Linked DNA regions of Notamacropus eugenii. The protein of the gene in region 2 purifies or fractionates together with the protein of the main gene of each other region. This does not show direct contact. Links are inferred from orthologs where the notes say so. Each region holds a gene or a part of one and is shown on either strand. Other genes may lie near its edges. The genes, in order: PRPF19, SNW1, SNRPA1 and CDK9.

Region 1 (7,640 bases), on a different chromosome or scaffold from region 2:
CCACCAGTTTGACCCATCAGTACAGTTGTTTCCATGTAGTCTTACCCGTTAGACTATGAGCTCCTTGAGGGCAGGGAATGTGTTTTGCCTTTCTTCATATTCTCCTGAGCTCAGCACAGAGGCTGGAATGCAGCAGGCACTTCATAAGTGCTTATGGTTTGACTTGACTTCTCCAAGAAGCAAACTGTTAAGGAAATCTCTCCCTAGCCAGGGGTTCTTTACCTAGAGACCCCACCTATCCATCCAGGGGCCTACGGATCGATTTCTAGTGGAGTCTATGAACTTGCGTTTCTAATATTTCTATTAACTGAATTTTAGCATAATTGATTTCCTTTGTAATCCTAGGTATTTTGTTTAATTCACTTATATCATTGTAAGAAATGGTCCATGGGTTTCATCAGACACTGCCAAAAGGGCCCATAACACAAAGAAAGGCTAAGACCCCCCTACTTTAAAGAACTTGTGGCTGAAGTCTCAAACTAAGGCCTACTGAACCTGGAAATCTCAAACATGGGGTTACCTATTGGGCAAGCCCCAGGGCCAAGCAGGCACGTTCTTTCCATGCGCTTCTCTAGGAGATCTCTCAGGGACCTGGCTGCTACCGTCTCTAGAACTGGGAAAATCTCTCAGGATGCTTGGGTAAGAACATGCTCCCACATCAGTCATTTTCAGTTGGGAAGGGCAAGAGGAGAATTCTGTCCTCTGTCAGCCTCCAGAATACAAACCCTTTCAGCCAAGCACTGCTCTGTCTTCTGAACTGGGGACACTGGTCTATCAGCTCACTTTTATAAACCAGAGAGGAGAAAATCTTCCAGCAAAAGTGAAGCTTCATAAATCCCTGTGAGATAATTACCTTGGAGGCAGCCCAGGTCTCTGAAACCCAATGAATAGTTCTGTGTGTTTTCTCAGCAAGCCTAGCTGACATCCCATGGGGGAGGGGCCCTTCAGACACCACAGGGGCTCAAGATGCTTTTTGTTATGGACCTTTTGGGCCATCTAAGGAAGTCTACGAGCCCCTTTTCAGAAAGGGCCGAGCTGAAGAGGGCCTTAAACACTAGGCTTGGCATTTCTGGTTTTCTTAGGACCACAGGGAACCAATGAGTATTTTTGAGGGGTAGTCACAACTATGTCTGAGGAAGAAGATTTTGTTGGTCATTCAAGGGGTCAACAAGCATTTATTAAGTACTTACTATGTATGAGTCAGCTGGGTGGCACCATAGTGGAGAGAGTGTTGGGCCTGGAATCTGGAAGACTTGAGATACTTCTTAGCTGTATGACCCCCGGACAAGTCACTTAACCTGTCTGCCTCAGTTGCCTCATCTCTAAAATGCAGGTGATAATACTAGTATCTACCTTACAAGGCAGTTGTGAGGATCAGATGAAATAGCACACATAAAAAGCTTTACAAACCTTAAAGCTATTGTTGCCAGGCACAGTGTTGGAGGCAGCTACATGGAGGATGTGGGCCAGAAGTTACTAATTTTTCTTGGTCACTTTTTTCTTTTGGTAATAAAAATAATTTTTTCTGAATATTTTGTCTCCTTCCCTCCTGAGAACTGTCCTCCACCTCTCTCTGAGCTTCCTCTACATCCATGCTCCAGCCCAGCTGTTCTTGGTCCCGTCTCCAGGGCTGTGCTGTCAAGAGTCCACTCTTGGTGACTGTCCTTCACTGTCAACAATTCATGGAGAAAAGAGAGTTTGGGCTACAGACAATGCCAGATCTTTTCCCTCTTTCATCCCTTCCTTGTCATCCTCCCAGTTGTGTCTCTTGCTAAATTTCAGGTACCTTGTTTTCCCACTACTTTTGATGTTTCATATGGCCAGCCCGCTCCCAGTATTCCACTGCTCTTCTCCATAGGATTTTATAAACGGGATTATGGTCTAAACCAAGACTGCTCTTGGCCTCCACATTTCTCTGCTTGGCAAGGAAATTGACCATTTGTTGACAGTGGTAGCATCTCTTTGATAGGGCAATTGATTTCTATCAGTCAAAGGTCTGTAGGTAGAGAGGGCATCCTTGCTACAGATTTGAAGAAAGAGGAAATAGATTTTCCCAAACTTTAATCACATAAATGAGTAACAAATAGAGAGGAAAGGCCCACATGATGCCTATTGTTTCTTGACTTTAAAGAAGGATTTGATTTGGTTGAGCCAAATGCCACCTGTATGTCTCTCCACCAAGGAGTCTCCCACATGTCAAAATCCTTAAAAGACATAATGATATGGATAATTTTGGTTGATGAAACTTCCAGGTTGATCATCAAGCAAGACAAGGTAGGGAGATGGATTAAGGTTGCCAAAGGCATGGATCACTGTCCTGGAGAGGAGAACCAGTCAGCCATCAATCGGTCAACAAACAAGCACTTCTTATGTGCCAGGCACAGGATCCCCTAGAGATGGTGAGGTCTTCCAGGTCTGTCCTTATTTGAGGATAGCATTGGGCTAACTGGGGGAAGGAAAAGGAATAACGAACTTACCTAATATCTACCATGTTGCAGACACTGTGCTAAAAGCTGTTTACATCTCATTTGGTTCCTAGCAACAGCCTTGGGAAATAGGCGCTATTATTATCCTTATTTTACAGGAGAGGACACTGAGGCAGACAGTGGTTAAATGACTTGCCTAGATTTACACAGCTAGAAGTGTCTAATACCGGATTTAAATTCAGAGCTTCTTGACTCCAGGCCAAGCACTCTATTCATGGCACACCTGACTGCCTCAATGGAATATTCTCTTCTTAACATGCCTAATCAGTCAAGAGAGTCTGGTTTAACTAGTCATATGAAAAAAGCTCAGTGGATGAAGAATGCCTTTGTTCTTGGATTTTTTTTTTTGTATCTCCAGAATTTAGGGCAATGCTTGGTACTTGTCCAGACTGTAACATGTAGTCAAATGGATATACTTGGAGCCAGTCTACAAGTATGAATGTGTGTATATATATATATATATATATATATATATATATATATATATATATATATATATATATATATATATGTATGTATGTATATGTATGTGCATGTACATATACATAAACAGTATATGTGCCTATGCATGTCACTTACATATATATAAACACACAAATATGTATGTAAAAACCTATTCTTTTTTTCTCTCTGTACCCCATGTCTCTCTCATATACCTGTCTGTAACATTTCTCTTGGTGCATGTGATGATTGAAATCCCAAGAACAAATGGGGTCACTGGGAGAGAGTGTAGAGAGAGACCAGAAGGTTCATGCCCAGCAGGGTATAGGTATGAGACTCAAGGTAGCCTCTCAGGTCCCCTTCAGCTCTAAATCCTAGGAGTTCTAGCCCCTGATTCCAAGACTTGCCCAAGGCCATTCAGTAAGGTGTAAGAGTTGGTCTCTGGCTCCTAAATGCAAATTCCCCATCCCTCCCACTTGCTCCATGGACAGCACCAGCCCTTCTTTCTCTCCTGCTCCCTCCCCAGCTTCCTGTTGCCTCTAGGCCATCAACCGGGGCCCTTGAACCCAACTGTGCCATACAGAATTAGTGATCTCATCTTCTTTCCGCTACTCAGACGCCAGTCACTTTTCCAGCTCTGTGTCACTGCTCTCCCAGCTTCCCAGGTTAGAAACCTTGGGTCCAGCAATCAGACCCCTCTGATTGCCTTGTTCCCTGCTGCGTCCTGTATGGCCCCAGGAGACTTGCAGGACTCGAATCCTGCCCTTGATGCTGAGCTGTGATCTTGTATCCCCTTGGCAGGAGAGCAGAGACCATGGCCTCGCTTGCCTAGCCCTGGCAGCTGTGAGGGACCTTCAGGATGAATGTTCATCTTCCAAGGTTTCCTCTAGGAAGCTTTCCTGGATCCTCCCGGCTTGTCAGAGTGATTGCCCCTTGGCTGAAAGTGACCAGATGCCCCAGCCCTCACATTTCGCAGATGCAGAAAACCAGGAATGCCCAGTGAGGGGAAAGGACTTGCCCAAGGTCACACACATGGTCAGAGGATCCTGGAATCGTAGGTTTGGAGCCAATGAGTCCAACCCCTCATTTTACAGGTGGGGAAACTAAGGCACAGGCAGGTTACTGTGCCCTGCTCATGGCCCCACGACTACGAAAGCGTCTGAGGCAAGATTCAAACCCAGCTCTCTTTCTGTTCTCTCTACCGGGAGGCAGCCTGAGCTAAAAGGTTTTGCAGATACTTTGCATGTCGTATCCCCCAGGGGACTGAGTGATGCCTAATAATTCTGGTCAGGAGTGCCAATGTACAGCCTTTGCCCAGCCAAGCCAACAAGCATTTAGTAAGCAACTGTTGGGTACGTGCCAGGCACTGGGCTAAGACCCATTATGGGCAGCGTGTCGGGGCCTCAGTTTACCCATCTGTAAAATAGGAGGGAGGCGGTCTGGGTGGTGTCTAAGGGCCCGACCTGCTCCATTTCCTTAGTCCTGTATTTCACTTACACCAAGAGTACTCTGAGCTGCAAACACATATAAGAGCTTAGAGTCCGAGCTAATTTTAAGGCCAGGCCCGTGATACCAAATGTCGCGATCTTTCAACCTCCCTATAGTCCTCCTGAGAATTGGACGGGTCCTAGTCCCTCTGCATCATGGGAAATGTAGTTCCTGACTCCATGTTCTTCCGGAAGAAACCGAACTCCCTCCGGAAAATCCGGATAGGGTCCGGGCCCATTGCATGACGGGATGCACTCGTTTCCGTTATTTGCCCCAGGATCCCGCGCGCGAGGGGTTCCCCCACGTGAAACCCCGCGCTTCTGGCCCTCCTCTTTACCCCCTTTACCCCGCTCGAACCAGAACCACCCCCGGGAGAGGGGGAGAACCGGAAGTAGAGGCCGCGGCCCCGGAAGCAGAGCCCGGCGGTAAGGGAGCCCGAGCGCGGCGGCGGTGGCGGCTGCGGCGGTGGCGCCATGTCCCTCATCTGCTCCAGTGAGTAGTAGCCTCCGGGCCCCACGCCTCCTGCCAGGCCGCCCCGGGGGGAGCCGGCACCCGCGCCCACGACCCGGCGTTCCCCTGCCGGGGCGACCCTCCCGCCGCGGCCTCAGCGTCCTCATCTGTAACCGGGGGCGGGAAGGGCCGGACGCGGCGCGTCAGGCAGCGAGCATCCATTAAGCGCCGACTGTGTGCCGCGCACGGCGTCAGGGCCCTGGGAGCGGAGGCTCGGGTCTGAGGGGGTGCGGCCCCCCAACCTCCCCCCCCGCCCCGCTGCGGCCCCGCCCCCTGTGACCCCGGAGCTTCCTCTAACGCCCCAGCCCAGCCCCTCGGCCCGAGCCTCCCCCCGGTGTGGCCCTGCGGCGGGTGACTGCGGGAAGCGCCCGGCCCCGCGCCCACCAGGCCTCTTGGTTTGCAGTCTCCAACGAGGTGCCCGAGCACCCCTGCGTGTCCCCGGTGTCCAACCATGTGTACGAGCGGAGGCTCATCGAGAAGTACATCGCGGAGAACGGCACCGACCCCATCAACAACCAGCCTCTGTCCGAGGAGCAGCTCATTGACATCAAAGGTGCCCCCCGGGCCGGGGCCGCGGCGCGGGGGGCCCCGGGGGGAGGGGGACACCTGCCCCGAAGCGGGTCACCAACCTCTCTCTGTCTCTTGGACAGTGGCCCACCCCATCCGGCCCAAGCCCCCGTCCGCCACCAGCATCCCAGCCATCCTGAAAGCCTTGCAAGATGAATGGGTGAGCCAGGGAAAGCCCCCCTGCAGTGCAGCGGGCTGTCTGCTGTGCCACGGGAAGCCCGATGGGGGGCTGTGTGGAACAGACAGCCTTGGTTCTTGGGGACCCGCAGACTCGATGGCTGGGGGGGAGCATCCTAGCCCCGCGAAGCAGGGCAGCTCCTCGTAGTGTGGGCCCCAGGAACCCCCATGGCCCCCTGAAAGGAGACTCACTGAGCTCTTGGCAGAACACGGTCAGACTGCGCGAGGGGAGGGTTGTGCGAAGGAGCCGCAGTGCCAGCGAGCCACGTGTGGTACCCAAGGCTCCGCCGCTCTCCGCCTCCTCCTGGTGCGGCCTCGGCCGGCTGCTTCTGCTCTCACCCCGGCCCCTTTCTCCCCAAGGATGCGGTCATGCTCCACAGCTTCACCCTGCGCCAGCAGCTGCAGACCACCCGCCAGGAGCTGTCACATGCGCTCTACCAGCATGACGCTGCCTGCCGTGTCATTGCCCGTCTCACCAAGGAGGTCACTGCTGCCCGCGAAGCCCTGGCCACGCTGAAGCCCCAGGCTGGCCTCATCGTGCCCCAGGCCGTACCGAGCTCACAGCCCAGCGTTGTGGTGAGTGTTTCTGGCTGCCCGGCTGACCCGGAGTAGTGTGCCCCCGGCTGAGTCCTGATGGGCCTGCTGCCTATCCAGGCCTTCCTTTGGGCCTCCTCTCAGCTTTGCTCTTTTTTTTTTAAATTTTATTAATTTTACGTATTTTTCAGTGTTCTACAATCACTATCATAATAACTTAGATTTTTTTCCCCATACCTGTCCCCTACTTTCCCTAGATGGCATACAATTTTATATAGGTTCTACACGTACATTCCTATTAAATAGCTTTTTACTATAGTCATGCTATGTAGAAGAATTAAAATGAATGGGAAAAATCATATAACAAACCAAAATGTAATACAAAAGAAAATGATCTGCTGCATTCTGCAATTGAATTCCATAGTTCTTTCTCTGGTTGTGGAAGGCATTTTGCCTTAGAAGACAATTGGGAATCTCTCTTCTTTTTTTAGGGTGCTGGTGAGCCAATGGATTTGGGAGAGCTGGTTGGAATGACCCCCGAGATTATCCAGAAGGTAAGTACCTGACTCCCTGTTTTAAACTTGGCAGAGCTTCCGTGGCTTTAGCCTTTGCTTCCTTTCTCTCATCCCTGATGGCTCCCTGGATAAAGGCTTATTGGTGTGATTCCCATGAGGTTCAGGGTATCAGACTGAGCCCCAGCTCCCTTTATTGTCTCTGGGTCTGGGAAAGGAACTTGGGCCTCTGCATGAGGGAGCAATTGGGTCTCTAGCCTGTATTTTATGGTCCTTTGCTCTCATCTCCAGCTTCAAGACAAAGCAACGGTGCTCACCACGGAGCGTAAAAAGGTGAGTCCTGCATGCTGTAGATGGGCATCTAGGAGAATTTGGGCATTACTGGAGGGAGGGGGCTCAGGGGGGACCTTTGTCTGCACTCACCAGCATGCCTCCATGGCTGTTCTTTTTGTCAGAGGGGAAAGACAGTGCCAGAGGAGCTGGTGAAGCCAGAGGAGCTGAGCAAATACCGGCAGGTGGCATCCCATGTGGTGAGTGGCACACCTCAAAGCTGGACCCCAGGGCCCTGTTGTGATATTTTCTTGTGACCCCGGGCAACCAAATCTTCTCTCTGCTGCTCCCTCATCTCCAGTCTTCCAGTAGAAGGTCCTCCTGCTTTTTGCCCATCTCTCCTTTTAGGGAGATGGAATGCTGGTGTCCTGGTGGAAATATGCCAGAACCCTGGGCTCTCTGCATGGAGGCAACAAGTGATCACAGTGGAAGGGGAGGTTATCTTTGAACATTCCTTTTGTCTACTTGGTTCAGACCACCTCTCCCACTTGCTAAAGTCCCTGCCTGAGAGCAGAATGAGAAATTCCTGACTTTTAGTCAAGAAGGGTGTTTGGAGGGAGAAACGTGAGTGCAAGCTTTGAGTCGTAGGGCAGTG
Region 2 (7,746 bases):
CTGTTTGGCATTTAAAATCTTTTACAGTCTGCCTTCAGCCTGTATATCCAGATTGATTTCACATTACTCTCTCTTGCAAACTTAACATCCTGGCCAAACTCCAACACTTCAGCCATTTCCCATACTCAACCTGAATTTCCTCATCTGAAAAATATGTGGGCAAAAATAAGCACCTACTTCACAGGGTTGTTGTGAGGATCAAATGAGATAATATATGAGGTATCTTTTGCTTTTGTGCCTTTATGTAAGATGGCATCCATGACTAGAATATAGTCCCTTGTCATTTGCCTCTCTTAGAATGTTTGGCTTTCTCTGAGTCTCAGCTCAAGTGCCATCCCGTATAACAGAGCTTTTTAAATTGTGACTCCATATGGGGTTATGTGGCTAAATGTGGGGGTCACAAAATATCTGGCAAAAGTAAAAGGTTTCTGAATGCACAATGACCCAAAACTAACTCAAAATCAAATGAATGTGAGGCGTTTCTGCCAGCGCTTGTCCATGTTGCATTACACTACTTCCCTGCTGCCTTGGTTCTGAACACACAATATGCATACTTTGCACTGCTCATGTGCATACCATCACTCCACACAATGCCAACGAATATCGCCAAGAACAACTCAGCTCATATTGGAGACTATTGTATGTTATGAACTGAAGTTGTTGTTTTGTTTTGTTTTTACCATACGTACCAAATCATTAAGTGAATTTTGGCTTAGGATAAGGACAGAATTTCCAACAATTTCTGAATGGCCCTAAACATACTTCTGCCATTTTGTACTATGTATTTATGTGAAGTGGTGTTCTCAGCATTGACAATTATAAAATCAAAATATCAAACATCTCTGAAAAACACTGAAGATGTTCTATGTCCAACAGTATCAAATATTCTGCCAAGATTTAATTCTTTATGTAAAAATAAACAGGCACATCCATCTCATTAGTATGTAAATTTGCTTTTCATTTTAGTAAATGGTAAAATTATATGTATACCAAAGAATTGTTATAAAATAAATTTCTTTATGATTTATTATTAATCAATGTTTTATTTGTATCCCTATTTTATATACCTACATGCTCAGAGTTGCATAAAAATTTCTCATGTGCAAAGGGATCAGGAGTAGAAAAAGTTGAAGAAGTCCTGCCCTACACAAGGTCCTTGCTGGTGTCCCTATCCCATAGAATAAATAACTTTATTTTGATTAATCTGTGCATATACTATTTTCCTCTAGTATAATGTATGCTCTTTAAAGACTTGGACTATTTAATTTAGCTTAGCTTAGCACTTAGTACAGTACTTAGCACCTAGTAAACACCGTATACTGTTGATTTGTGTCTTTAGAACCTATTGATATTAATAAGCCTTTTCTGAAAACTCTAGCCCATGTTGATCCCTTGCTGTTGTGAGCTCTCATTTACAGTATTAGTTATTGTTATTACTATTATGGTAGGAAAACCAGAACTTAACTCTTCATTGTTACCACAATTTGTTTCATCTCCTTATCATCAGTTGTCACTAAGAACAAAAGTTCATTAGGGCCCACATTAGACCGTGAGATCCTTGAGAGCAGGGGACTGTTTCTTTTCTGTCTTTGTTTACCCCCGAAATGAGCAGCTTCTGCCACAGTAGGTACTGAATAAAATGCTTGTGGATCTACTGTCTTACTATGTGGTGCTGTCCTCGGTACTGAAGTATTTGTTGTTCTTTGAAGGGCATCCAACAGTTCCTCCAGTATTAAAATATTTCCCCCAAGTCCTGCAGCAGCGCCTTCAATTGTATTATTAGAGATAAGTATTCCTTTGATTCCAAAAAGTATAAAAGCAGCTAGCATTTTTATAGCTCTTTATGGTTTGTATCATAAAGATGATCTCATCCTTACAATAACCCTGAAATGTAGGTGCTATTATTACCCCCGGTTTACAGATGAGGAAATTGAGGTAGAAAGTTCATTGACTTGTCCAAGGTCACACAACTAGTAAGCGTCAGATAACGACTTTGAACTCTGATCTCTCTTGACTCCAGGTCCAACGTTTTGCCCAATGAGTCCCCTAGGTTCCTCTAAAAACATCAATTCCATTAGCTGACAGGTTCCTTAGACCAAAGACCTTGTTAAACTGCTCTGAAAAAGTATCCCACACCAAATAGCGAGACTTCACAATTTGGCTTAGGGCAGGCCTTGAACGTCACACAATGTGGGTGACCTCATGGCGTACGTTCAATTGAAGCGTTAAAGAGAGCTGAATCCGCCCTTGCTCTATTCGCCCACGGTTTCGCCCCGCCCCCTCCCCGCCCTTCGCTCAAAGTACTACAAATCCCAAGAGGCCTTTCGTTAAAGGTGCGTGCGCAGTGCTCTCGCCTTTTCTTCTCCGCCTTCCCCCTAACCCTTTCAGTTGCCTAGCAAACCCCTCCCAGCTGAGCTGCCGCGAGCGCTGAAAGCAGCGGAAGAAGATGGCGCTTACCAGGTGGGTTTTGAGGTCTGTGGGGGAGGAGGGGGTCTGCGTTACGGAAGAGATTCAGTTCGCTTTTGCCTTTTATTCCTCGGCTTCCACACTCTGGGAGGGTGCCGGTCAGGGGAGTAGCGATGCTTTGGGGTAAAGCTGTGGGCCAGGACTTCCCGTTAGCGGCCGAGTCGACCAGGCCTCCCCGGAAGCCGGGGCCTTTCCTGAACACCTACCCCGAGCGCTGGCCGCCCCTAGTCGTGGCTGCCGACATCGGCGTGGCTCACGCTTCCCTGCCCCTGCGCGTTCGAGGATTGCCTTAGTTGTTCTCGTTTCCGAGGGCGAGGGAGTGAAGAGGCCTTCCCTCCTGTGGAGGGAGGTGGAGGTGGGGAATCTGGAGGGAGGTGGAGGTGGGGAATCGGGGCTGGCATGTGGGGACCAGGAAGGGGACGGTGGTTACCGGTGGTGGGAAGGAGCTGGAAGCTGAGGCGGGCTTCCAGCCGCTGTCTGCTCCCTTATCGGTTGGACCTTCTCGGAAAACAGAAGAGTGCCTCCGCCTGGCGAGCTCTGAATTGGGGGTGAGGGGACTCATGGCCAGTCCAGTGGAAGAGAACTACCCCCCCCAGGCAGATCTGAGTCCTGCCGCTTCCCGATGTGGTGGGAGCTGCGTGTGAAGGCGGCCCCCGATTGCCAGCGAATGATCGTTAGTACGTAGTGAGCAAAAAAAAAAAAAATTACGTAGCTGAGACTAATTCCTGAAACAGGTGCTTAGTAAGCGGAAACAATTTTCCTTAAAAACACACACCGGCAAGAGAAGAGGAAACTCGAGGAGAGACTGCGGAAAGTCAAGCCATAAAGGTTTATTGTGTTCCAGGTACTCCGCCAAGCCCTGAGAATACCAAAGAAACCAAGGAGGCCCCTAATCTAGCGTCATCGGTATCCCCAGCTCCTGCCCCTTTCCTGCTGTTCCTACTTAACTCATCATTCCGAACGGACCATAACAGTGAAGCTTGGGAAAAAAACGAGTTACATGGTGTGGTCTGTAGAAAGGGCAATTGAAGAGGCGAACTCTGGTTTACAAGCCTCTTTTACTCTTGACCAAATGTAGGCATACAAAGCAATTGAAGTGTAATAGAATGCTGACTTTTGTGGGCAGGGAGGGAGAAGTACCAAAGGAGTTAGAAGATAGGTAAGGAAAGGCTTCACTGAGGAAGTAGGACCTGAGCTAGATATTGTGGAAAGGGTGGTGTGTGTATAAACACACATAGGCACCCATATGTATACATTTATGTACATATTCATACAAGGGAGATGCCCAGTAGTAACAATATCAGTATTGGCTTAATTTTAAGGTAGGCCGGTGGTTCTTATGTTTTCATTGAATTCGTTTTTGCTAACTTTATGAAGCCTGCAAAGTGGAAATCTTAAACTGTTTAAAATTGAAACTGTTCCCCTAGGAATTGGTTTTCCTCTATCTTTTAAGCATTTTACTTCTTGACTCTGTTCAATTGAATTTTCCAAAGGGTTAAACAGCATGCCCATAGGACTTCTTGTGGATAGTTCCAGTAGAAATTTTTGGGGGAAGTCTGACCTAAGTTCTTTTGATCCATACTATATTAGCATGCAGAAACAAGAGTTGGACTCTTTCTGTCAAAGATAGAATTGCTTTTCTAATGCTAACAGTATGTTTAAGGCAGTGATTGACTTTTCTTTTTATTCTTGGTTGACCAGTATTTTGCGGGACTCATTAAGCCTTTTGTACAGTGAATGTCAAAGGTTTTGTTCCATGTGCTATAATTCATTTTCAGTATAAATACACTGGATCTTTTTGCTTAATAACTTAACATTTATTATGATCAATACACTGGAAGTATAGTCAAAAACAATTCAAGTTGGCACTACTTCAGTTTCTTAAACGTTAATAGCTTTTTTCAGAAAATCAACCTTTTTGTTGTTACTTAAGATTATATATATTCTTGAATTGAACAGGATAAAAAAAGGATTCTTAAATGTACTTTTTTTTTTTTCTCTTAACTGCTACATGCCTATTCCCTATCCTTTTCTTTCTTTGAGGTTTCGACTTCTCTTCCCTGTTTCTACTTGTCCTTCAATATTGGTACTGTAATGATTAAAAGGGAACAAAAAGAAAATCAGTATTCTGGGCAATCATTCTCTGAATGACTGAGGATTTACTCTTAGGTTACAAGAGATTGAAAAACATAGTATAATAGCTATTGTGAGGTATACAGAGACAGTCCTGGTCGTAGAACTCATCTCATTTGCCTTTAGTCAGATATTCTTGATCCCATGAATGAGTACTTCATTATTACCTGGAATACAAAATGACTGGTATTGGCATTTCTACAGATCAGTAGAGATTCTCCCTTTTCATGAAATTAGCCAGAAAAATTTTATTCTCATTATTGATTTGAATGACATAAAGTGTTTTTGTTTGTATTCTAACTTTTCTCCTTATCCTTTTTTATAGCTTTTTACCTGCTCCAACTCAGCTGTCTCAGGACCAACTTGAGGCTGAGGAAAGGGCAAGATCACAGAGATCAAGGCAGACTGCACTGGTCTCATCAAGAAGAGAACCTCCTCCTTATGGTTATCGGAAAGGTTGGATACCTCGTTTGTTAGAGGTAAATATTAGCCTTCATTTTGGATTTATTAAATTGATCAGGGTTGCTGTAGAATTAATGAGTAAGTCTAAACCATGGAGTTTTCTAGCATCTACTTCAGTACTGTTTTGAAATATAGTTGTCTAAAGTAAACTAATTATTAGTATTATTATTAGTAAACTAATAGTGTTTTACCCTTTGAAAAGTGCTGATGAATAGGGAAATAGTCAAGAAGTAGGATGCTTAAAAGATAGAGAAAACAAACCAAACAACCAATTCTTAGGGAAATAGGAGTCCCTAACCCTTCTCACAAAAGGTATGAGCTTGAGTAATGGCAGGAATTAATTTCGTCACAGGTCCAAAATCCTTTGTACGTGCAAAAAAATCTTTATAGTTTTGGTAGGGTAGAGAAGTAGCTCTGGAAGATACTGCAAGTGTTAGGGAAAAACTGGAGTTAGAGTTTATAAGATATTGGAGAGAGACAGGACATTGGAGCCAATCTAGTCCAACCCCCTCATTGCAAAAATAAGGAAATTGAGGTACAAAGGGCATTGTCCATCAGTGGAAAGCAGGTCTGAGCTTAATTCTCTCATCTGTAAAATGGGGGGTGATAATGTTTACAGATTATAGATTATGTGGAGAACACCATGTAAATCTTATAGTGTTACATGTAAACATTAATTCTTATTCAGGAATCTTTGACATGTTGTTTTTAAAAATTGTCTCCATATGACCTGATGCTGAGTGAAAGGAGCAGAACCAGGAGAACTTTATGCACAGCAACAACCACAGTGTGTGAGAGCTTTTTCTGGTAGACTTAGATTTTTGTAATAACACAAGAACTTCCGAAAAAAAAAAAAAAATCCCAATGGTGGACCTCAAGGCAAAATGCCTTCCACACTCAGAGAGAGAAATATGGAAGTCACTCACATAATGTAGCAGATCATGTTTGTGTATGTGTATCTGTTTGTGTATCATGTTCTGATTTGTTATACGGATTCTTTCATTTATCTTAGTCTGACTACATAGCATGACTATAGTGAAAATATACTCAATAGGAAAGTATATGTAGAATCTATACAGAATTGTATGCAGTCGTGGGGAGGGAGGGAGGTAGTGGGGGGTGGGTGGGGAGGGATAAAATCGCAATTGTATGGCAGTGATTGTTAAACATTAAAAAAATAAAAAAATTAAAAAAAAAAAATAAAAAAAATAAAAAATAAAAATTGTCTCCTTCCAGTGGAATAAGCCCCTTGAAGGCAACATTGTTTTTAATTTTGTCTTTGTATCACTAGTCTTAGCATAATTTTTTCAACATAGTAGGCACTTAATATATGATTGTTGAATTGTTGGTGTGAATACTCCCCATATTGTGCCCATTGCCTCGTTTCTTTGACTCAGTATTCAGTCTTTGAAAGCTGATGAATTTCTGTTTAGAATATCTTGTGACCAGTCTGCTGGTGGAACTCTTTAGACTTAACTTGACTGCTTGTCAGACAATACACATATTCTGAATTACCTTTCTAGTTCTTGGAGTTATCAGTTCTTTGCCACTACAAAAAGAGCTGTTACAAGTATTTTTGTATGTATGGGTTCTTTTACTCTTTCTTTGATCTCTTAGGAGTATAGACTTCCAGTAGTGGTATATGACTGAGTCAAAGGGTATGTATTGCTTAATAAATTTTGAGACATAGTGCCAGATGACCTTTGCACAACAAGTGGACCAGTTCACAGCTCCATGACTAGTAGATTAATATATGTTTTTTTCACAGCTCCTTTAGTATTGAGCTCCTTTATCATTTTACATTTTTTATCAATTTAGCCAGTCTGATGGATGCAATGGGTGTGGAACCTCACAGTTCCTTTAATTTGTATTCTGTAATTATTAGTTATCTGGAGCCTTTTTTTCACATGGCTGTTAATAGCATTGATTTCTTCCTCTGAAAACTGCCTATTGATATCATTTGGCCATTGATCAATTGGAGCCCTTATTCTAATAAATTTTAATTAGTTCTTTATATAGCTTGGAAATGAAACCATTACCAAAAAAAATGCTGCAAAGATTCACCCCCCCACCCCAGCTCCCAGTTACCTACTTCTCTAATTTTAGCCACATTTGTTTGGTTTGTACAGAAACTTTTCTTATTTTATATAATAAGGATTTTCCATGTTTGGTTCCTTGTTTGGTCATGAGTTCTTCCCCTATTCATAAGTGTAAATAGTAATCATTGCTCCTCTAATTTGTTTATGATGTCACCATTTCTTTCTGAGTCATGTATCCATTTGGGGCTTATCTTGGTTTTAGTGTTAAATTGTGGTTTATACTTTTCATGTCTCCCAGACCACTTTCTGTTCTCCCCAGAAGTTTTTGTTGAATAGTGAATTCTTATCTTAATAACCTGGTCTTTGAGTTTATCTAAAACTGGGCTTCTTCAGCAAGTAAAATGTAAAATCATGTAAAATTAGGGAGTGTAGCCTTCTTGCATTTCAGATTTCATGTAGTTAAAAAGGAATTGATAATTAACTTCATGGCGTAGTTGAATTTTTAAAAATCTTATTTTAATAGCTAAGATTTCTTAAAGCTAGGTAGAGCAGAATAGGTTTTGAAAAGTCAAACTAAATTGGCCTGTTAATCTGAAAATGCCATGGGCACTTTTCCAGAAGAGTGAATGTTTGGAGAAAAAAGCAT
Region 3 (6,829 bases), on a different chromosome or scaffold from region 2:
GCTACGATGTTGTTTCAAGACAGCAGACTGAACCATGAATCCAAGATAAAATCTGGTAGGAGAGGCAGACACAAAGTGTCAATCAGGTGAGGCAGAAAAAGTTAGTAAATTATACTTGCACAGACCTTTTACTTACTCTCATTTCATAATTAAAAACTGCATATATGCAGAAAAATACCAAGCAATAAACATCAAAAGAGGGCAATAAAAATTATTAAACTAAACTTTTGTCAGTAGCTAATTTCCTTATGTGGATGATCCTTTGCAACGTGAATTTTAGATACATGAAACAGAAACTAGGATTAAAGACTGCCATGAATTATTTGAATTTCTGTGAAAGAATAAAACTTTTCAGCTTTAAAAAATTTCAGCATACCTGCAGCTGCTTACCATGCTTTAAGCTAACAGCTAACTCAGGGGAAAAACTAACACTTACCATATTCTATTATTATTCACCAATAATGTTTTCAGTCTTTTCAACAAGGGAAAACCATCCAACTTTCTGATTTCATTATCAGAAAAATCAATAGCATCAAACTGATCCAAGGTAGCCCCCAAGTTTTCAATTACAGGAATCTTGTATCCTGGAAAACAGTAAAGATATTAGATTACACTGAGGTAGCCAAGGTACACCATAGCTAAAATTAACAGTGTCAGTAAATTAAATCAGGTATTGTTATCCATTTTAGAATCTACACCATGAGAGCACCAGCAATTCTTCATTCAACAAACAGTTAAGTAACCAGTACTTATTAAAGTTTTGAGGATGACACAAAGGAAAGGTATAGTTTCTACCCATATTGGAACTTAAAACCTATTTTGAGAGATGATACACATATGGAGCATTTAAATAACAACACAAGGCAATAATGTTAAATTACTGCTGGTGGAATTATGAACAGGTTCAACCATTCTAGAAAACAATTTGGAATTATGCAAAAGTTACCGAATTGTGCATACTCTTAACAAGAGATTCTGAAGTTGGGACTGGATATAAAAGATACAAGAAAGCCTCAAATGTACAAAACTATCCATAGCATAAATTGTGACAACAAAAAAATGAAGCTAATATGTGTCCCAACAACTGGGGAATGGACGAAAAATTTATAGTGTGTTAATCTGTGCTATAAGAAATTAACAAATAAGGTGATTTCAGATACAAAGATTTCAGAGAAATAAATTATTTATTACAGGTGATAGTGAAGACAGTAGACACATGCATATATGTGTGTATATAAACATATATACACATGCATACATACACAGATATGTCAATGCCCACAAACATTAAAAGGCAGCAAAATTTGGTCAAATACGATGACTAGAAGTTGCTACAAATGCCAACTAAGTTAAAACACACAATTCTCTGTCCTGTTAATCTAGTTTTAGGGAACATACTTTGCTGGGGGTGATTGTGTGTTTGCTGGGAAGTGTACGAAAAAGTATCATTAAATTAAATATAAACATATATGACAATAAACATGGTCAAAGACAAAAGAGTTTTCTTAGAAAAGGTGAAACTTGAAGTGCACCTCTATCTACATTTAATTTAATAATATAAAATTTTTTAAAATAACTGCTCATGGGTGCAATATAAAACTTATGAAGTTTAAGGAATTGGGATTTCACAGAAAAAGGATGAAAGGTCAACCTCCCCATCCTAGTGTGAAAACCATGTTCCAAAGTGATGCCTTCCTTCCATGAAATCTCTCATATTTTAACTCATGCCTTGTCACACCAAGACAGTATTTCATTTTGACCTGAAAATTCCTTCTGTTTAAAGTAATCTAGTCCAACCCTTTCATTTAACCAATAAGGAAACCGAGGTCCAGAGAGATGAAGTGATCAGCATTATACAGGTAGCAAGCTATGAAACCTGGACTCAAACCTAGCTTAAAAAAAAAATCAAAACAATTTAAAGCTCTTTTCACACACAGAATCTAATTCTTCACATCTGCCTGTCCACTTGCGTGGCCCTCAAAAGTCCATGTTACTGTGGTATTTCTCCTTAGTTCACTGTACCTGGTTCAGTAAGTTTCAGTTGGAGGTTAGCTTAATTCAAGTAAGATACAGTACAGTTCCCAACTAAGACAGAATGTGATCTCTACGTGCAAATTAGCTCATAAACATCAGAACTAAAGTGAAGCCTGCCTTTTCAATTTTTCAATTAAGCAGATAAGACTACGAAGGGTAATAAAAGAGAGAAAGGTCAGAATGAACAGCTTCTGAACATCACGGACTACATACACCGTGAGCGTCACTACACCGGAGTACGTGTGAAAGCAGGGAGTGGTCCAAAAAATGGAACCGTTGGAGGGGTCCGTGGTGGCGGGGAATGTCACAAAATGAAGTGAGACTCACTGGGCGGTAAACAAAGGAGCGAGGGTGCTACAGAATAGCGGATAATATGAGACAATAAGGGAGCGGTCGCTACAGAGTAACAAGTGACAGACCGGGCCTGTCACGCTCTCTAAAGAGTTACCCTCTTCCGCGCGCACCAAGAAACTCCAATTTCCTCCACTCTGTTCGCGGGGGTCTCGGGAGCCCGGTGGGCAGGCCCTCGAGCACGCCCTCTCCCTTCCCCGGGCGGGCCTCAGTTTCCTCCTCTGTGTTCGGAGCGGAGGTTGAACCGCACAGCGCGGCGAGCTGCTGTTCTACAGCTTCGGAAAAGGCCGCCCGCGGGCCCGCTAAGCGCGCGCAGGCCACCCAGCGCTCCATGACCCCGGCCCGAGGCCCAGCGCGGGGGCCGCGGTCCTCTCCGTCGCTCCTCCCAGCGCCCTGATCTTACCTCTCAGGTCCAGCTCACGGTCCCGCACGGCGTTGGTGTACTGGGCCGCCTGCTCGATGAGCTCCGCCGTGAGCTTCACCATCTTGTCGCCACAAGGCACCGCAGACTCCGCTCCTTCCGGCCCCCAAAGAATACCCAGCAGCCTCCGCGCACCGCCCCCGCGGTCGGACAGAACCAATCACGGGCCTCGGGAGGCCGCAGCGTGTTCAGGCCAAAGCCATCAATTCGCGAATCACGGAGATCGGAACTACTGCCTGTCTTCCGCCAGAACTTCGACCAAAGTCCCAATCGAGCTCCCGGCACTCACTGTTTTAAAGTCCCTTGCGTTGCTCTCGTGGAGCCACCTTTTATGTCTCTTACAGGCTCGTTTAGGGTCCTTTGCAAAAATAGGGCTAAATGTGTGCTTTGTAGGGTGAAGGAACGCAGGACAGCGTGTTTCCGACGCATCCATTCAGTAGCTAGCTAGTAGCTAGCATTTATAGAGAGCTTTAAGTTTTGCAAAGCGCTTTTTTTTTTCTGCTTGTGTTACCTCATTTGATGCTTCTGGTTATGGAAAAGCATTTGGGCAAGAAAAGATTCTGCTACTTCCATTAATTTATTTATAGCAAGAAAAGACTCACATGTACAAAAAGATCTTCATAGAAACTTTTTTTAAATAATGCGCCAGCGACTGGGAATGACAGAATGAATTGATATATAAATATGATGGGATAAATTACATCATAAGGAATGATGAATATGAAAACTCCATGGGAAGATTTGTAGAAAGTAGTGAAGCAGAATTAAGAAAGCCGAATTAAAAGAACAGTATAGAGCAACAAGGTAAATACAGATAACATCAAGAGGTAGCAAAACTGGTGGTCAAATATAAGCAACAGAACAATGTATCGTACTAAGTTAGAACACACATTCTTTTTGAATATTGAAACCAGCCTTTGATGGTTGTGGGGACGGGGATGGGGGTGGAGGGTGGGGGGGTGGTATACCCTTTGAAGAGACATTTATTTGAGGGTTGTGAAAAGTGTTGTATAGAGAAACAATGTATCAAAAAGGAAATAAAGTAGCAAGTTATAAATCTATGAAAGCAATCTCTAGAAATGTAACTATGCAGACTTCCCTCCTAGTGAATATGCTAGGAATATTATTTCTATTCCTTTTTTAATGGATAATACCTAATAACCCATACTTAGACCATAATAATTAGAATTGTAGCCCCTGGGTTGAGAAATGTCTGTTGAGTTTCTAGGCAGGGTTGGGCCTAGTAGCCACTTTCTGTTGTGCCCCTTCGCCTAGCAGCCCCTCTCTTTGTACCCCTTTGCCTGGCAGCTGCCTGGGCCCCCATCTCTGTTGTACCCCTTTGCCTGGCAGCTGCTTGAGCCCCCCTCTCTGTTGTGCCACCTTGCCTAGCAGCACCTAGGAACCCCTGTCAAAACTGTTCTGTGAAAAATGTTTGCTACTGGAACTGCAAGACTGTACTGGGAAGTGCTAAGATGCTTAAAAGGCACACACACCTTTGTTCGGGGCTGCCTCTTCTGAGGACAGCCGCCGGCTAATAAAGACGCTCCCAAATTCTCAATTGACTCTTGCCTGTGCTTGTCTCGGTCTGTCCATTTCAGTATCAGAAAAAAAAGAGCACTATAGTTGAATTATTCCTGTTCTAAAATCTATGGTTTTGTGCTATATGATATAGTAAATATTGAGCCTCTTCAATAGCTCTGAAACCTTTGAAAAAATACATGAAATGACTCATTGTAGCATAGAGGTTTTGACAGATTCCTCCAAAATTGAAAAGCCCACAGTCCAAAGATCAACTTGCTAGCTGAGAGATATTTCTTACCAAAATTGTGGCCTTTAGGTGATGGATTTGAAGGGTGCCACAACATTTCATTTATATCATCTGCTAAATCATAGAGTATGTTAAGGGGGAAAAATGTCTTCATTGCTTATAGTTATATCAATTAGAATCAAAGATTTGTTAAATAATGCAGTTGCAAGGAGAGTGTTCTATATTGACATGGTGACTCAAGTATCAGGCATAATCTGGAGGCTTTCATATATCTTCTTTTTTAAAAAAAATTTACATGCATTTCTAATTTATCCCTCTCAATATTCTACCCCTCACTGAACAACAACTAAAAAAAGCCCCACAACTTGAACAGGCATAGTCCAGCAAAACAGATTTCCACATTGGTCATCTCTGCATTATTAACCTCTGTGGAGGAAGTATTTCATCTTCAGTCCTCTGGAATCATGGTTTATTGTTCCACTGTCAGAAATTTAAATTCTTTCAAAGTTGTTTTTCTCTGCAAGGTTGTTGTAATTGCACAAGCTGTTAAAGATCTGCTCACTTTGACATAAATTCATAGAATTCTACCCAGAAGTCTATTTTGATTTTTTCTTATGACACAATAATATTCCATTATTCACATATACCATAATATTTTTTAGCCATTCCCCAATAAGTATATACCCCTTTAGCTATCAAATTTCAGCTACTATGAAAAGTATTGCAATAAATATTTTTGTACATATATGTCCTTCTTTCTTTGATTTCTTTCAGAGGATAGGCCTGATAGCGATATAGTTGGGTTAAGGGATATGCACTGTTTAGTAACTTTTGGATCCTAACCCATATATTGTTTTCCAAAATAGCTGGATCAATTCACAGCTCCAACAATGAAGCGATGTGCCTATTTTCCCATAGCTCATCCAATATCTGTCATTTTTCCTCTTTGGTCATTCTTTTTCAGTCCAATGGATATGAAACAGAACCCCAGAGCTACTTTAATTTGCATTTCTTTATTTATTAATGATTCAGGGTACTTTTTCCACGAGGTTATTCAGAGCTTGGATTTCTTCCTTTGAAAATTGCCTGTTCATATTCTTTGGCATATTTTTATTAAGGAATGTCTTTTAATATATTTTCAAGAACAATTTAAGCATGTACCTTAGCGTTAACCGTCAGAGTTACAAATGAGGACAGAATGTTCATCTCAAGGAGGTAGAAAAGCAACTCAAACATCCAAGCTGCTCATAGCATATAATCTCAAGAACTCATGAGATCTTAACACTTACAAAATCTCCAAAGATAGTTTTAGTTTTCTTGTTACATTCTTAGAACAGCATTTGGTTCATTTCAACCACTATTTTTACCTCTTGCTAGCACATAGCAATCAAGCTTAATCTATGGTTTCAGCTTTGGTTTCTTACCATTAGGTTATGTTATAGCTCCAAGACCTTAATTTCTAATTTAATTATAGTTTAATTACAGTTTGAGGCTTTAATTTCTTGCTTCTGTAATCCCTTGTTTTGTGTCTCTTCAGTTCAAAGCAGCAGCCTCAAACTCCAATGTGGAAAATATTCCCCACTCCTGTCTCAGTAATCTTAGTGCAAATACACTACATACTTATATCCTTTATCCTGCGCCAAAACTCTTTGACACATCAGATTATGACTCAGTGCTATACAAATTCCAGGATGTACAACAGTATTGAGTCCATATATAATGGTATGACCAAGAAGCCCCCAGATAGATCCAAATTTTTTTTTCTAAATCTCTGCAATGTTAATTATGTTAATGAAAATTAAAGATCTTCCTCACCCATTAATGGGCCTGCCCATTAAGGGAAGTTTGATTAGAGGAGATTTGTTTTGTAGGAAGGCTCATACCTTTTGTTAATTTCTAATGGGGCACTGGTTCTCAAAGGTTGTGATGCCCTCTGGCTCTGAAGAGTGTGTGTGTGTGTGTGTGTGTGTGTGTGTGTGTGTGTGTGTGTAACTATGTATGTATGAAATGGTCAGACAGTTGGAAACCCTGTCTGTTGGTCTTTATTTCTTTGTTTGCATTTTTTCTGAAGTTCAGGGTTTTGACTTTTCCCCCTGTACTGAGTGAATGATAGATATATGTGCTTCATTAAAGTACATTGTTGACCCTTCAAAATTGGTTTCCTTTTAGAAAAGCAGATCTAAGAACCTATACAGCAGGCCCTCCTGTGTAAGCTAGAGTCCTTCCTGATACAATCTCATCAGTTATTCTCATGA
Region 4 (7,545 bases), on a different chromosome or scaffold from region 2:
AGCAGACATTTGAGTACCTCTGAAACATTTAAAAATTGTATATCAAGAAGGCTTCTGGGAATGCCGTCTCAGAGTACCTATCCTGGGGTGCAAGTCTAAGACCTCTAAGTCTTCTGAGCTCAGCAAGACTTCCCATCAGCAGCTTCCATTTTGGCCCTTGGTATCCAAATGGATTAAACAAATTCTTCAAAACTTCAGGGTGCTCTGCAGCTGCCCTGGTCTGGCCAAAGATGATTGTTATTGTTGTTTAGTCATTTTCAGTGGTGTCCAATTATTTGTAGCCCCTTTTGGGGGTTTTACTGGCAAAGAAACTAGGTTGGGTTTAGATTTTCTTCTCCAGCTCATTTTACAGATGTGGAAACTGAGGCAAACAGTGTTTAGTGAATTGACCAGGATCACACAGCTAGTAAATATCTGAGGCTGGATTTGAACTTCCCAACACCAGGTTCTATCTACTACAGCTCTATCCATGGTGCCACCTAGCTGCCAAAGACCAGCTCCATGCAATTCCCAGTGTCTTAGAGAACTTCTGCCTGGTTGGATCAGAAAACCTTGTTCTCGATGTAGTTCTGAGCCTCAAGAGCACCTCTTTCCTTTCCAATGTCCTCTCCTTCATTAGTGCCTTGGACAAGGCTACAAAGAGTGGTCAATTAGAGAAATGGAGAGTAGACATTGGATCACAAGATTTGGACCTAAGAGAGAATTCAGGGACTATCCATTACAATATCCATAGACCACTGTAGAAATAAGAACTGGTAACATAACCTTTGGCCCATCCCTGACCCATCCCTCCCCCCCTTCCCATTCCCAGTCCCCAACACTAGGCTCCCTAGAAAGTTCTTGAGTCTTGGGGTTGATTCAAGAGGGTAATTTCTTTCTTTGGTTTGTTAGGCCCACCTAGAGTTAGTCTAAGAAAATCTCTAAATATGCTTATTTTTGGCTACTGTCTAGGTTTCCCTAAATATGGGCAATGCGGCCCTAGTTCCAGTACAGGCACTTAAGATATAGATAGATAGAGAGATAGATAGATAAGATAGATAGATAGATGATGGATAGATATACACTTATATATTTATACATGGATATATATACACATACATATGTGTAGATACATACACACATGTATATGTGTATGTATACACAAACACACACACATATAATAGCAATATATAGCAATAATCGCTAACATTTATAGCACCTACTATGTATTATACTAAGGTATCTATTAAGGTATTAAATGAAGCACTTTATAAATATTATCTCATTTGATTGATAGATGACTAAAACCTCAGAAAATGTTAGAAAACACAAAGGCCTCCTAGGAACCTATAAACAGAGAAATACATAAAGAATTCTCATAGCCCATCAACTACCCTCAGAAGGGACCTGACCTTGGAATCACCATTAAGGTTACCCTTTAACCTTCTTGAGGGCCCATAGCCTTCCCAGAGGGGCACAGAGTCCTTCCCAGAATCATAGTGTTACTCTGTGGTTTGAAGGCAAGCACAGTTTGGGTCAACCCCCTTCCCATTGGACCTCCAAGTAGGAGAGCGCTCAGGAACTTTATGAGTGGTCTTCTTTTTTCTTCCTAGGTATGTAGGTGGTCTGATCTCTAAATTCTCAACCTTGGGAACTTTCGAACCTAGAGTTTTCTACAAGGTAAGCCCTACAGCAGGTCTTGCCCAGAAAACCTCCCTTCTCAGGCCATAAGGCTAGATTTCAGTATTACACTGCTTAGGGTACACATAACACAACGCATTTAACTCATCTATGCAGGATATTGGGATTCATAAACACTGTCCATGGACCACTCTCTTGAGTAATACGGACAAGCACATGACTGCATTTGCCACGTCCTTCTGCAGGAAATCTCTTAGTGCCCCATTTTTGGCCATCTTTTGAGTGGGGAAAGTAGTTACTCTCAGGATGTCTCAAGATTCAGACCACTTTCAGACTAGCACACACAACTCCCAAATGCCTCTGCTTCAGGATGCCTTTCCTTGTCGCTTAGGGGAAGAGTCACATGAACACAAGGCTTCTCTTCCCTCAAGGACCTGCTCTGCCCTATTCCATGCTGGTCTGTCTTCTGAACAGGGGAAGGCAAAAAGCCAAAAGACGGCAAAATCGTGTCTGCTCACACCCTAAAAAGTCCATCCTCTTGAATCCTACCTTGTATTTCCTTGTGATTTCTCACCTCTCCTCAATTTATTTGTCTTCTCTGTTTAGGCTCTTCCAAGCTCCACAGAGGAAATGGCAATGATGTTTTGTGGAAAGGATGGTAAATCTGGAGTTTTCCCTGGACCTAGGTTTGAACTCTGACTCTGTCAACCTGGAGGGGTGTGGCCTTGAGACAGTCACTCCACCTGAGCTTCTGTAAAACAAATGAAGGGGTAGTACTAAATGATTCCTAATGCCCCTTCCAGCTCTACATCTATGATCCTTCTCTATTATCTTTCTCCTACCACTTAAGAGATCTTCTCTGGATATATAGTTCTGCACCTACTGACACCTTGTCATGCGTCTTGCCAGGACAACGCTTTGACACAGCCATTCTTGGAGTATCTTTAGACACAGCAAGCACAGGGTATCTAGAGCACCCTTGCACCACTCCCTAGGGGCTTGAGTTCCACACACATTTTTGATGGAAGAAAATTCTACTCTTCTAATTCTGAGATTTTTAGCAACTTATTTTGTGACTAGTTAAGTCCCATATATTAGAGTGAAGGTAGAAAGCCTTTGGTGGACAATAGGATACAGGGTACAATTTACAGGTTTTATCTACTCCAGTCTCCACATCACCAACTATCCAATGCACATCTCCAGCTGGATATCCTGTAAGGCATCTCAAACTTGACATATCCAAAACAAAACTGTCTTTCCTCCAAAATCCTCCCCTCTTCCTTTGTTTTTGTTGAGGGCATCACTATTCTTTCCATTAGCTGGGTTCTCCTATTCAATCGTCTTTCACTCCTTGTTCTCCTTTATCCTCACTTCCCTCCTCCCCGCCCCATATGCAAGCAAATTGGTAAGTCTTGTCTAGTCCACCTCTGTGACATCTCTCAAATCCATGGCATTCTCTCCATACATTTGCCTTCATCTTCCTTTAAGCCTCTATCACTTTTCCCTTGGCTTATTGCAATAGCCTCTGAATCCCCATATCCAGCCTCCCTTCCATTCCCCATAAACTACCAAACTGATATTATTAAAACATAGGTCTGTGTCATTCCCTTCCTCAAGACATTCCAGTGATTCCTCAATGCTCCTGTTATAAAGTACAAATGCCTCTACTTACCTTTTAAAGCACAGTTTTCCTTCCAGGCTTATTAGACCTCACCCTCCTTCACACACTGAAGCATTTAGCAAAACCAATTTGCTTCCAATTTTCCATCCACAATATTTCATCTCCTGCTTCTGTGTCTGTCCAGGTGGTCCCCTATGCCTGGAATGCCCTCTCTCCTCACTCATTCTTCATAGAATCCCTAGCTCTTTTCAAAGCTCAGCTCAACTGCCACCTCCTACAGGAAGCCCACTGACCCTCCACCCCCACCCCCAGGTGCTAGTGCCCTCTACCTAGGAATGATTTTGCATCTATTTTGTATTTAAGTTTCTATTTATATGTTTTCTGCTCCCCTTAAAAGTGTAAGTTCTTGGAAGGTGAGTCTTTCATTTTTATCTGTGCCCCCACTCTATCCTTTCCCAGCGCCTAGAACATAGTAAGTACTTAATAAATGCTCCTTGAATTGAATTTCATTGCCTCTGTAGGATGTGCCAGGTTCTGCTCTCCAAGTAGGAGAGAAGCTGCCAGCAAATAAAAAGGGGGGGGGCAAAGAAACAGGAAAGTTCTAGAGGTGTTCCCCAGGCATAGTGGGGAAACCAGTCCTCTTGGAGAATTCATGGAGGGTAGCGGAGGGTTGGAGAGATGGGGTGAAGCAATATTGGAGGCAAGGTTGGAGAGGTATGGCAGAGAGCACTAGGCTAAGGACTTGGGATTTAATGCTGGAAGCAGTTGTGGAAGCCATTTTGTGTTCTCCAACAGGGAAATGACATAGTTTCAAAGAGGTTATTCTAATAGCCTTTGTAAGAACAGGACAGAGTGAGAATAGAGAGGAAGGCCAGGAAGGAGATTGTTGTAATAATCTAGGTGAAAAGCAAAGATGGCTAGGGATCAGGAAGCTTGAGTTCCTTGCTAATCTCCTTGACTCTTTCTGAAAGGCCAGGAGAGCAGAATGACAGCCCCAGATCAGGGTGCGGAGAGGGAATGCCCGAGCTGGTGGGAGTAGGAGATTAGGGAGGGAAGAAGGAATCAAAAGGCTACTTCAAAGGAGACTGGGCATGCTTTGATGACCAGACACGCCTGGGTTCCAGGCTTAGTGTCTTCCCCTACTAACTGCACGAGCATAGGCAAGCCCCTTTGCTCCTGAGACCTTTCCTCACCTGCAAAGTGGGGGTTTAGTGCATGCACCACTGACTTCACGGAGTGGTGGGAAGCTGTTTGTAGACAAACGTGAGCTATTGTTTCTTGTAATTCATGATCAGAAGCAGTAGGAAGAACAAGTGTAGACAGTTTATGGAAGGGCTCCCAGGGGAGTCACCTCGGGTGAGGGATCAAGGTCTTGGCCAGCGGAGGGCACACACCGTCCCCTGACACGGGAGACTTGGTTTACACTGTGTGGTGGAGGTGGCTGAGGTACTGAGCAGGCGTTTCGGCTCCAGCCCTCCCTCCCGGCTCTCCGGCCAGGGCCGAGTTGGTGGCTGAGCCAGCCAGTGCCCCGGAGGGAGCTTTCCCAGCAGGAGGTGCCCCCCACAGCGGCGCACACGTGGGGAAAGCGCAGGTCTCCGCGGCATTCATTGTTGCTAATGCCAACCGTCCCCAGCCTAGGTCCGGCCCGAGGAGCTCGTCCCCCCGAACGATGTGACCTGGACGGCCAAGTCTGACGGCTGAGTCCGTTTGGAAGGACAGTGAGGAGGTCAGTTTTGGACATGGTGAGTTTGCGAAGTGAACGCCCTGCCCTGGGGGAAACTGAGGCGGCCCAGGCAGAGCGTGTCTCCCTCCGCTCCCCATGCACCCAGAGAAGGAGGAGGGCGAGCTGGCCCTCGGCTCTCCCGGGTCTTTGAGGCCCGAGGGAAGAAGGAAAGAACCCCCCAACCCCCAGGGCTCTGCCCACCGGCCCCCAACAGGCCTCCCCCGCCGATCCCGCCCTCCTTCCGCTCCTCTGGTCTCGCAGCTCCCCCTGGCGGCGATAGGTTGCCATGTCAACCAAGGGAACCGGGGGGCCGGCGGGGGGAAGGCGGCTCCCGCCCCCCGGCTCGGCCCCCGCTCACTCCGCGCCTCCTCCGTGCGCCTCTCGGCCGTTCTCCCAACTCGGAGCCCGAGGGGTGGGGGGAGCGGGAAGGGAAGGGCTCCGCTTGCTCGCGGTCCCCACGACGGCTAAGACCCGGGGGCGCCCCTGGTGCCCTGGCCTAGGGTGCAGAAAGGGAAACTGAGGCACGGCCGGGCGGCAAACGGGACGCACTGAACCGAGGGCTCGATTGCAGACTCCCAGGCGTCCGGGCTCCTGGGCCCACACGTCACTCTTCGCTTTCCTCTCCCCGGCACTTACGGGGGCGAGGGGAGGTGGGGACGGGACCCCCCAGGGGGGAGGGGCCGCGGCTGGGGCTGGTGACGTACCGTGAACCCCCACTCCCCCCACCCCAGCGGGCGGGTCCGAGTCCGGGTCCGGGGCGGAGTCGCGGCAGGTGCGCCCGCGGAGTAGGCGGGCGAGAACGGGCGGCACCTCCCTACCCCCCCCTTTATAACGCGCCCCCAGCCCCTCCCCTCCAGGCTCCCCTCATCGCCCCCACCCCGTCTCGGTGTCCTCTCCTCCTCCTGTCTCAGTCTCTCCTTCCCTTCCTGCCCCAGCCCGGGCCTGGGAGAGGAGGAGGAGAGGAGCGAGCGTCCCCTGGCCCGGCTCTCGCTCCGGTTCCCGGGGGCGGCTCCCCCCGCCCTCCCCTCCCCGCCCCCAGCCCCGCGGCGGCGGCGGCGTCGGAGAAGCCGGAGCCGAGAAGGAGGAGGAGGAGACTGCGGCTCGCCCGGGATCCGCTCCGGAGCAGCTCCGCGGGCTAGCTGCCGGGCCAATGCAACGGGACGGGCCGCCCCGCGCCCCCGCCCCCATCCCGGGGCCCCGCCTTCCCGGCCCCGGAGGTGTTGGTAGTGTTGGCGGCGGCGGTGGCGGCGTTGGCGGCGGTGGCGGCTCTACAGCCCCAGCAGCCCCCGTCCTCCCGGGAACTACAAGTCCCAGGGGTCCCGGCGGCGGCCGCAGGGCGGAAGAGGCGGGGCCGGCACCTCGGGGCCGGAAGTGGCCCGGGAGGCGGAAGTGGCGGGGCCGAGGAGGGGGCTGGAGCGTGGGGGGCGCGGCGGCGGCGGCGGCGGTAGCAGCGGCGGCGGCGGCGGCGGCGGCAGCTGCAGCGGGACCCGGGCCGGGGGCAGCGGGGGCCGCCAGCGGGGCGGCGGGAGGCACCGGCGAGGCCGCCATGGCCAAGCAGTACGACACGGTGGAATGCCCCTTCTGCGACGAAGTGTCCAAGTACGAGAAGCTGGCCAAGATCGGCCAGGGCACCTTCGGGTGAGCGCCGGGACTGGCCTGGCCGGGCCAGGGAGGGGGGTACCGGGGGCCTCCCGAGGCCTCAGACCGAAAGGGACCCTCAGGGGCCGGCCGGGCCGGGGGGCCGGGGCCGGGACCAGAACGGGACAGCCCGCGGGACGCTGGGGAGGGTTAAGGGCGAGGCCTGAGCGAAGCCGCGGGTCCGAGGCCAGGAGGCCGAGGGGCGACCGCCCGCTGGGAAGGGGACCCGAGTCTGGAAAGTTAACAGCCTGACTCTAGAGCCTGGGGCTGGAGGCGGAGCCCTTGTGGCGGGGATCTCGAGGCTGAGGGGGGCTCTTGGGGCTGGGGCCTCGAGGCTGTCCGACAAAGGGAGGCTGGAGGACTTGAGGTCCGGCCCCAGGGGTGAGTCTGCCGGGAACCCTGGAGGTTAGGGCAGCCTGGCCAGAAGCGCTTTGGAGGTAAGGAGGTTCAGGTCGTAGAGAGATAAGAGGCAGGTAGGGGAAATCCCCAGAGACGGTGAAGGGGCTTCAGTTTGCGGGGGAGGAGCTGAACAAAGGAGGCGCTGGAAAGGTTGGAAAGTAAGGGACTTTCAAGATGGGAGTAGATCTGAAGGTGAATCTTTTTGCAGACAGGCTTTTGTTTGTATTTTTCAATTAAAGTAAGGGTATGGTTTGGTGGCAAGCTGAAGGGCTTGGGATTCAGACCACTAATTTATAATGTGATCTTGGGCACACATACTTTCCTCTCCCCCCCCCATTCAGTTTCCTTATCTGTATAGTGAGAGGTTTTTAGAGTAAATAACTTCCAAGCTTTTTCCAACTCTAGTATTGATGTAAGAACCTGGGATAAAGGGTAATTGCCATTTCTGATAAATTCTGGGAGGAGGGTGCTGGGCAGAAAAAGAGCCTGGGTAAACAAACGTGCCATCACTTGGCTTGCAGTGAAGTCTTCAAGGCCAAACATC

What was found.
Region 1: the proteins of SNW1 (region 2) and PRPF19 purify together in Homo sapiens (affinity purification with mass spectrometry; 3 studies listed by BioGRID and IntAct, counting the BioPlex papers as one, with this or other methods). This does not show direct contact. The link is inferred for Notamacropus eugenii from reciprocal best matches to the Homo sapiens genes SNW1 and PRPF19.
Region 3: the proteins of SNW1 (region 2) and SNRPA1 purify together in Homo sapiens (affinity purification with mass spectrometry; 4 studies listed by BioGRID and IntAct, counting the BioPlex papers as one, with this or other methods). This does not show direct contact. The link is inferred for Notamacropus eugenii from reciprocal best matches to the Homo sapiens genes SNW1 and SNRPA1.
Region 4: the proteins of SNW1 (region 2) and CDK9 purify together in Homo sapiens (affinity purification with mass spectrometry; 4 studies listed by BioGRID and IntAct, with this or other methods). This does not show direct contact. The link is inferred for Notamacropus eugenii from reciprocal best matches to the Homo sapiens genes SNW1 and CDK9.

Annotation. Positions count from the first base shown.
Region 1 is NC_092873.1:12,527,253-12,534,892, reverse strand, and holds the start of PRPF19 (pre-mRNA-processing factor 19), read left to right. Parts: upstream 1-4,634; 5' UTR 4,635-4,888; coding exon 4,889-4,907; intron 4,908-5,328; coding exon 5,329-5,478; intron 5,479-5,575; coding exon 5,576-5,652; intron 5,653-6,029; coding exon 6,030-6,245; intron 6,246-6,694; coding exon 6,695-6,757; intron 6,758-7,006; coding exon 7,007-7,048; intron 7,049-7,170; coding exon 7,171-7,245; intron 7,246-7,640. UniProt on the Homo sapiens protein: Ubiquitin-protein ligase which is a core component of several complexes mainly involved pre-mRNA splicing and DNA repair. Required for pre-mRNA splicing as component of the spliceosome.
Region 2 is NC_092878.1:61,529,970-61,537,715, reverse strand, and holds the start of SNW1 (SNW domain-containing protein 1), read left to right. Parts: upstream 1-4,732; 5' UTR 4,733-4,747; coding exon 4,748-4,785; intron 4,786-4,924; coding exon 4,925-5,078; intron 5,079-7,746. UniProt on the Homo sapiens protein: Involved in pre-mRNA splicing as component of the spliceosome. As a component of the minor spliceosome, involved in the splicing of U12-type introns in pre-mRNAs.
Region 3 is NC_092872.1:153,137,231-153,144,059, reverse strand, and holds the start of SNRPA1 (U2 small nuclear ribonucleoprotein A'), read right to left. Parts: upstream 3,018-6,829; 5' UTR 2,871-3,017; coding exon 2,789-2,870; intron 585-2,788; coding exon 437-584; intron 1-436. UniProt on the Homo sapiens protein: Involved in pre-mRNA splicing as component of the spliceosome. Associated with sn-RNP U2, where it contributes to the binding of stem loop IV of U2 snRNA.
Region 4 is NC_092872.1:479,053,440-479,060,984, forward strand, and holds the start of CDK9 (cyclin-dependent kinase 9), read left to right. Parts: upstream 1-4,529; 5' UTR 4,530-4,983; exon of another isoform or gene 4,984-5,614; intron 5,615-5,899; 5' UTR 5,900-6,114; coding exon 6,115-6,602; intron 6,603-7,522; coding exon 7,523-7,545. UniProt on the Homo sapiens protein: Protein kinase involved in the regulation of transcription.